Linked DNA regions of Oryctolagus cuniculus. The protein of the gene in region 1 purifies or fractionates together with the protein of each later gene. This does not show direct contact. Links are inferred from orthologs where the notes say so. Each region holds a gene or a part of one and is shown in the gene's direction. Other genes may lie near its edges.

Region 1 (4,284 bases):
CCAGCGGAGGCTCAGGTGCCCGCGCGTTCCAGAACCCGCCGCGGGAGGAGTGGAGGGGCCGCCTGGAGGTGGAGCTGCAGAGCTGCGAGCAGGAGCTGGAGCGCGCGGGGCTGCGGCAGCGGGAGGTGAGCGCGCAGCCCTCGCCCCTCCCCAGCGCTCCTGGCCCTGCCGAGGTCCCGGGCCCCGGAACGGGCGGGCGCGGCTCCCCGGGAAGCGGCGGGCCTTCCTCGCCAGCCTCCGCCCCCGACACCCGCAGCTGGAGCAGCAGTTGCAGGCCCGCGTCGCGGAGCAGCTGGAGGCGCAGGCCCAGAACGCCCAGCTGTGGCGCGCCCACGAGGCGCTGCGGGCGCAGCTCGAGGGGGCGCAGGAGCAGCTTCGCAGGCTGGAGGGCGACGCGCGGGGTCGCCAGGAGCAAACGCAGAGGTGCGGCGGGCGGGGCAGGCGCGGCCCCGGCCCGGGCCACTTCCACCCCCCAGGGCCTGCGGGGCAGGGGAGGGGTCTCCCCAGCGGTCCGCCGCATCCAGGCCGCCCCTCCCCGCCCGCAGAGACGTGGTCGCGGTGTCCAGGAACATGCAGAAGGAGAAACGCAGCCTGCTGCGGCAGCTGGAGCTGCTCAGGTGCGGGCGGGCGCCACGCAGCCCCGGCCCCTCCGGGAGGGCAGGGACCCCTCCGACCTCGCCTTCTGCCTTCCCCAGGGAGCTGAACACGCGGCTCCGCGACGCGAGGGACGCCTGTGAGGCCCGGCTGCTGGGCCCCGGCCGCAGGAAGGCCCCGGCCACCGCCTGCCCGCCCGGGCCCACGCTGGGCGGCTGGACTCGTCCCCCCAGACGTGGCTCCGGCCACCTTCCCAGTGCACGCTGACCGGCCCGAGCCACGCACAGGGCGTTAGCGGGACAGGGCGCGCCTTGAAGCCCTGCGGGCGCAGGGGCCGAGTAGGGGTTGGGGGGCAGTGGGGCGTCTTCCTCCTGTCCGCATCGGTGTCCAGCGGGGAAAAATCATAAAAACTGCCAAATAAAGTCCAGGGACTGCACTGCCTCGTCCTCGGCGTCGTGCAAGTGCGCGGTACCTGTGCGGGGCACGTGGCCCTGGTGCGGGGCGGGGGGCTTCCGGCCGTGGGTCGTCACCCGAGCCCTCACCGTCCCTTCCGTGGGACCTGGCGGCCAGTGGAGGTTCCCACGCTCACCAGCCAACCCCGAGTGCGTTTCCCGGCACGCAGCCCTGCCAACCGAACTGACAGACTGACAGACCCCCGGGGGTGGGGGCCCAGACGCACCGGCGCGAAGCCCCCTCACCCTCCCCCGCCCCGGGCCGGCCTCGGTTCTGCCGACGCGGGGAGGCCGCCGGATCTCGCCGCTGTCGGGGACCTCCGCGCGGTGGTCTCTGCCTCCTTTCCAGCCCCTCCGCAGCCCCGCTTCCCTCCGCCGAGGCCCGCACTTCGCGAAGCCGGCTCAGACCTGCCTGGCGCTGTCTGCGGGCCGCGGGCGTGGCCCCGTCCAGGGGGCGGGGCCCGGCGCCGCGGGCGTGGCCGCAGCTCGTGTCGGGGGCGGGGCGTCTCGCCAGCGGCCCCTGCCGCGCATTCTCCGCTGGAACCGCCGCCCCCGCAGCGCCGCAGCCCGGGCCGACTCCGACGCGTGGCCGGTGAGTGCGCGGCCGAGCCGGGCCGAACGAGCGAAGCCGATGGCCCGCAGCCCCTGCGCGCCTGGTCGCGGGGCCCGGCGTTTGCGCGCGGGAGGCTACGCCCGCCGGACGCGGCCGCAGGCCCTTCCGGGGGAGCCCGGCGCCAGGCGGTCGGGGTGGGGGAGGCGCCTCCCGAACCCTGGGACTGGCGGGCGTCCCCGCCGTGCGCGGAGCCCTGAAACTCCCAGCCCGAGCGCCCCACGCAGTGTCTCCGACCCCGGCCCCTTCCCTCCGCCCGCAGGCCCACCCCTGCCCTGTGCATATGGGCGGGCCCCGGCCCCAGCGGTGACCTCACCGCAGACTGCGCCCGAACCCGCCAGCTGCGGAGCCCCGGAGCCCCCGCACTGGGGCGCGGGAGAGGCCCGGGACGGCTCTGCGCGCGGCCGCTGTATCTATTTCTGGCCACCCAGGCTCCCACGCTCCTGTCCCCGGGGGCTCACGGCCACCAGCCGTCCCTGGAGGGGCCGCCCTGCCTGGCCGGGTGGCGGGGATCCGGTCCAACCCCAGTAGCCTCACAAAGCCTGGGGCCTCTGAGTCAGCCCCAGGGGCACAGCTGTGCGTGGCCCCGGGAGTTGATGCGGGGAGTCTGAGTTCCCCAGCGGCGTGGGTGGAACTTGGGGGGTTGTGCCCCGCTAGCTGCTCTTTCGTGGGCGGAGGGCATGGGTGGGGCGAAGCCCCTCCCAGGATCGGACTGTCCGAATGCCTTTTCTGCCCCACCCTTGTCCAGACAAAAATACCGGGCCTGGCCACTGCTGGCCAGTTTTCCCGGGGGCCCTGGCCACGGCCTTGGTGGCTAGGAGGCTGGGGCAGGGTTCTGCCTGTCCGCAGGAGCCAGGCCAGTAACCTGTTACCTGCCCTGCAGCCCAGCTTCTTGGGAACTTCCGCCCACCTGTCCCAGAGACGTTGTTCCCGCCGCAGGTGAGTGCTGGGCGGGGCAGGAGGTGAAAGTGCAGCTGGGCTGCCCGTCTGCAAACCTGGCCCCGGGCGCCAGCCCCAGTCTGCGCCCGCAGGCCTCTCCCGGTGCCCCCCCAGCCCCAGTCTGCGCCCGCAGGCCTCTCCCAGTGCCCCCCAGCCCCAGTCTGCGCCCGCAGGCCTCTCCCAGTGCCCCCCAGCCCCAGTCTGCGCCCCCCAAGCCCCAGTCTGCGCCCGCAGGCCTCTCCCGGTGCCCCCCCAGCCCCAGTCTGCGCCCGCAGGCCTCTCCCAGTGCCCCCCCAGCCCCAGTCTGCGCCCGCAGGCCTCTCCCAGTGCCCCCCAGCCCCAGTCTGCACCCGCAGGCCTCTCCCAGTGCCCCCCAGCCCCAGTCTGCGCCCGCAGGCCTCTCCCAGTGCCCCCCAGCCCCAGTCTGCACCCGCAGGCCTCTCCCAGTGCCCCCCAGCCCCAGTCTGCGCCCGCAGGCCTCTCCCAGTGCCCCCCCACGGGGGGGGAACACCTGCCCTTCTGCTGACCCTCCAGCTCCTGCGCCTCGGTGAGGGTGGGCAGAGCCCTGTCCCCCGCCCCTGGGGTGCCTCTGCGGGCCCCTGTCCTGGGCCTGCAGCCCGCGGTGGGGCCGCGGGCAGGAGTGAGTCAGCAGGAGCCCTTGCCGGGTCCTGGGCTCCTGAGCCCTTCTCCCTGGGAAGTGACTCATGTCCTGTCTGCCCCCTGCGCCCGGGCATCTCCGGGTCCCCCGGCCAGGCGTGTGCCCGGGCCTCCGACCTCCCCCGCCAGCCCCAGGATGGGCGAGTTCAGCGAGAAGAAGGCCACGTGTGGCACCGTCTGCCTCAAGTACCTGCTCTTCACCTACAACTGCTGCTTCTGGGTGAGCAGGGGGGGCTGCCCGCGCCACCCGCCCCCCGCGCCCGGCCCCGGCCCGGCCTGACCCGGCACGCTGTCCGCAGCTGGCCGGCCTGGCCGTCATGGCCGTGGGGGTCTGGACGCTGGCCCTCAAGAGTGACTACATCAGCCTGCTGGCCTCCAGCACGTACCTGGCCACAGCCTACATCCTGGTGGTGGCCGGCGTCGTGGTCATGGTTACTGGCGTGCTTGGCTGCTGCGCCACCTTCAAGGAGCGGAGGAACCTGCTGCGCCTGGTCAGCGGTGGGGCCCCTGGGGGTGGGGTGGGGGGCTGCGCCCGTGGGGTCCGCCCAGAACGGGGGTGTCTGTCCCCTAGTACTTCCTCTTGCTGCTGCTCATCTTCCTGCTGGAGATCATCGCGGGCATCCTGGCCTACGTCTACTACCAGCAGGTGAGGGCTGGGGGGGGCAAGGCAGCGCCGCGGCTCACAGCGGGCCTGGGGGGGCGGGGGGCAGGCGTCCGGCCCCGCCCCCGCCCCCCCGCCTGACCTGGAAGAGCTGCCCCCCCCAGCTGAACGCAGAGCTGAAGGAGAACCTCAAGGGCACCATGACCAGGCAGTACCGGCAGCCAGGCCACGAGGGAGTGACCAGCGCGGTGGACAAGCTGCAGCAGGAGGTGGGTGGGGCCCAGGGGGGGCCTGGTGGCCGGGGCGGGCGTGGCGGCTCAGCCGACCCTGCTCTCGGCCCTGCAGTTCCACTGCTGCGGCAGCAACAGCTCGCGGGACTGGCGGGAGAGCGAGTGGATCCGCTCGAGCGAGGCCGGGGACCGCGTGGTCCC
Region 2 (3,500 bases), on another chromosome or scaffold:
GTAGCTGTTGATCCCACTGAATATGTGATTTCACCAAGAAATTCGTCTTCGGAATCAAAGAGTGAGACATTTAAAATGAACACTTAGTAAGTCAGTCCTGGGAAAGGTATGAGTTTTTCAGGAATGATTTTGTTGTTAAACAAGAGTGCTTTCTATGATTTGGATGAAGGGAGCATTTTGTTTAAAAGGTAGAAATGAGCTATATTATATGCCCCTCTTTGTACTCTGACTTGTGTTTTAATGTCGTTTAGACGTTTTTGCAAGAAGGAATGCCTACTTCTGCACGATGTGATGACTTAGAAGCCTTGAAAAAGAAAGGCTGCCATCCAGACGACATAGAGAATCCCAGAGGTTCCAGAGACATAAAGAAAAATAAGAATGTCACCAACCGTAGCAAAGGCACAGCAGAGAAGCTGCAGCCGGAGGATATCACTCAGATCCAGCCCCAGCAGCTGGTTCTGCAGCTGCGATCAGGTGCGGGCCCAGCCATCTGCCCCTGAAGTGCCGTCCTCACAGGCAGGCCCCCAGTCCAGCTGACGCTGGCCAGCTTTACAGAGTTTTCTGAAAACACACAGCTTGTGAAATGCATATTCCTGGAGTAATGTTAAATGTTGCCATCGTCAGAAGTAAAATCTGCTAATGATTCGGCAAGTGTGAATTAGACTTAATGGGCTTTACAAGTATTGTCCATTTTCTGATTTGATTACATTATATAAAGGCAACCTTTTTTATTTATTTATTTATTTTTTAACTTTTATTTAGTAGATGTAAATTTCCAAAGTACAGTTTATGGATTACAATGGCTTTTCCCTCCCATAACTTCCCACCCACCCATAACCCTCCCATCTCCTGCTCCCTCTCCCGTTCCATTCACATCAAGATTCATTTTCGATTATCATAAAGGCAACATTGTAATGTTTCCTTTCTTGTGCAGTATTTTAAAATTATTCTTGGTCAGTGTCTGTGGCAGTGTGTGACCCACTCCTGTGCTGTGTCAGGAGGTGGTGGTGCTCGGTCCCCCTCACCCTGGCCCCTGCGCTCACACTGAGCCTGGTGCAGTCCACCTGCTGCTGAGTCCACTGTAGCACAGCCGCTGCACTGGGCTGACACCACAGCTCGTGCGCCTGCTGGTCTGTTCTGACCCTCCTGCACCCAGGATGGTGCTCCTGGCTTCTCTGAGCTTTCACTGTTGGTTTCTAGGCTTTTGTGTCTCTTCCTGTCCCCATCTCTGTGGTCCACTTTACAACTTGGCTTTCCTGTCATGATTTAAAAGCTGCAGCAACACAAACTTTTCTGTTGAGCTCCAAACAGTTCCTCTGACCTGTCTCCCAGAACTGTCTGTAGACAGGATTTTTAACCATGTTTCACCTGAACCTCTCATTCTCCTGTGTTTCGTGACTGAAGTATGCCGACAACTCTGTCTCCAGTTCTCTATCCTCACTGTTTCAATTCAGATCTTCATCACCTCCCCTTGAATTTTCCATCATTCCTTAACTGGTCTTTGACTCTATAATCCAATTGTAAAACTTTACCCAGATTTTCTAAAGCAGAAATCGTATTCTGTGATTTTCTTTCATGTGGTGGCTTCCTGTGACCAAGACCTGAGTTCCTTTAGAATGCCAGTCTCTAGAATGAGAGTCAGCCCTGTGACCTATCCAGCCCAAGACCGTTGAAAAATGGATGATTTAGACATAGATTACCTAGTGTAGGTTGGGCATGTTGCCTTTTTATTTTTTTAATTTTTTTTTTTTTATTTTTTGACAGGCAGAGTGGACAGTGAGAGAGAGAGACAGAGAGAAAGGTCTTCCTTTTCCGTTGGTTCACCCCCCTAATGGCCGCTACTGCCAGCACTGCGCCGATCCGAAGGCAGGAGCCAGGTGCTTCTCCTGGTCTCCCATGGGGTGCAGGGCCCAAGCACTTGGCCCATCCTCCACTGCCTTCCTGGGCCACAGCAGAGAGCTGGCCTGGAAGAGGGGCAACCGGGACAGAATCCGGTGCCCCGACCGGGACTAGAACCCGGTGTGCCGGCGCCGCAGGTGGAGGATTAGCCTATTGAGCCGTGGTGCTGGCCGGCATGTTGTCTTTTTCACCCCGAGGTCTGGAGTGTCAAGTATTGGTTGAATGAAATTGAGTATAGACCCAGTGAGTTTTGTTAAGTTTATGACAGTGCATTTCATCTTGCATTGTTGGCCCTGTAAATCAGATCCATTTGGTTTTCTCACTTGTTCTTGGTTCTTGGCTTGCTAACATCTTTTCTGACCCGTTTGGCTAGGGGAGCCCCAGACGTTCACGTTGAAGTTCAAGCGTGCTGAAGACTACCCCATCGACCTCTACTACCTCATGGACCTCTCCTACTCCATGAAAGATGATCTGGAGAACGTCAAGAGTCTCGGGACGGATCTGATGAATGAGATGAGGAGGGTGACTTCAGACTTCCGAATTGGTAGGAATGTTGGGAAAATTAGTAGTTTTCCTTCTTTGTTCTCCAGGCCAGTTTTTAGCTCTTCCCTTCTGAGAGGAAACATCATCTGTGTAACAGGCGCTCTGCCTCTGGGCTCCTGTATCCCTGTGTGCTCAGCACAGATGAAGAAGTCGTGCCTGTCCTCACAGTTCACCCACTCATGTCCACCCGCGGGTACGGCCTTGTCTCACTCAGACCCAGTTTGCCATGCTGTGATGTTCTGCTTTCCACCCTTCCTTTCCTGTCCTGTGCATCTCCAGGCTTGCCTGCTCGTCGCCGGCTGTCTCCTGCTCCTGCCGCACCCAAGGTGTTGCAGCAGAGTGCTGGAGAAACTGGACAGCCTCCTTGTGGCCAAAAAGCTGCCTTTTAAAAATTAACTCTGTTTTAGAAGAAACCTTGAAAAACTTAAAGTGCCATTGTATTCAGTAGGCACAGTTCAGGGACCATGGAAATAGTAAGTTCTTAAGCAAGGTAGTCTTTTTGAAGTGGTCAGAATTCCAGAACATTCATTTATTCATCCATCCATCCAACGTGGCACTGTGGAGAACTGAGGATACTAAGAAAGTCAGTGTTCATTATTTTTATTTTATTTTTCTAAAGATTTAATTTATTTGAAAGGCAGAGTTAGAGATAGATACATACATACATAGAGAGAGGTCTTCTATCCACTGGTTCACTCCCCAGATGGCTGCACCAGCCACAGCTGGGCCAGACCAAAACCAGGAGCTTCCTCTGGGTCTCCCACATGGGTGCAGGGACACAAGCACTTGGGCATCTTCCACTGCTTTCCCAGGTACATTAGCAGGGAGGCTGCACTGGAAGTAGAGCAGCTGAGACTCCAACTGGTGCCCATGTAGAATGCTGGCACTGTGGGCGCAGCTTAACCTATTTAGCCCCAGTGCTGGCACCAATGCTCATTATTTTTAAAGTGGGTAGGCAGAAGATGGATGTACAGCTCAGTCCTGCTGGGCAGCTGGAACCAGACAGCTCACAAACCACAGGAATGCATCACTCACATTTCAGGAGGCCAAGCAGTCCA

The links. Proteins that work in one complex are often made in the same cells at the same time.
Region 2: the proteins of CD151 (region 1) and ITGB1 purify together in Homo sapiens (affinity purification with western blotting; 4 studies listed by BioGRID and IntAct, with this or other methods). This does not show direct contact. The link is inferred for Oryctolagus cuniculus from reciprocal best matches to the Homo sapiens genes CD151 and ITGB1.

Annotation. Positions count from the first base shown.
Region 1 is NC_091432.1:348,230-352,513, forward strand, and holds the start of CD151 (CD151 antigen), read left to right. Parts: upstream 1-1,484; 5' UTR 1,485-1,638; intron 1,639-2,539; 5' UTR 2,540-2,595; intron 2,596-3,348; exon of another isoform or gene 3,349-3,381; 5' UTR 3,382-3,388; coding exon 3,389-3,472; intron 3,473-3,551; coding exon 3,552-3,743; intron 3,744-3,823; coding exon 3,824-3,898; intron 3,899-4,017; coding exon 4,018-4,122; intron 4,123-4,198; coding exon 4,199-4,284. Other genes in the region: CRACR2B (EF-hand calcium-binding domain-containing protein 4A), read left to right, coding at 33-125, 257-423, 546-617, 696-861. UniProt on the Homo sapiens protein: Structural component of specialized membrane microdomains known as tetraspanin-enriched microdomains (TERMs), which act as platforms for receptor clustering and signaling.
Region 2 is NC_091444.1:108,918,883-108,922,382, forward strand, and holds part of ITGB1 (integrin beta-1), read left to right. Parts: intron 1-251; coding exon 252-474; intron 475-2,272; coding exon 2,273-2,443; intron 2,444-3,500.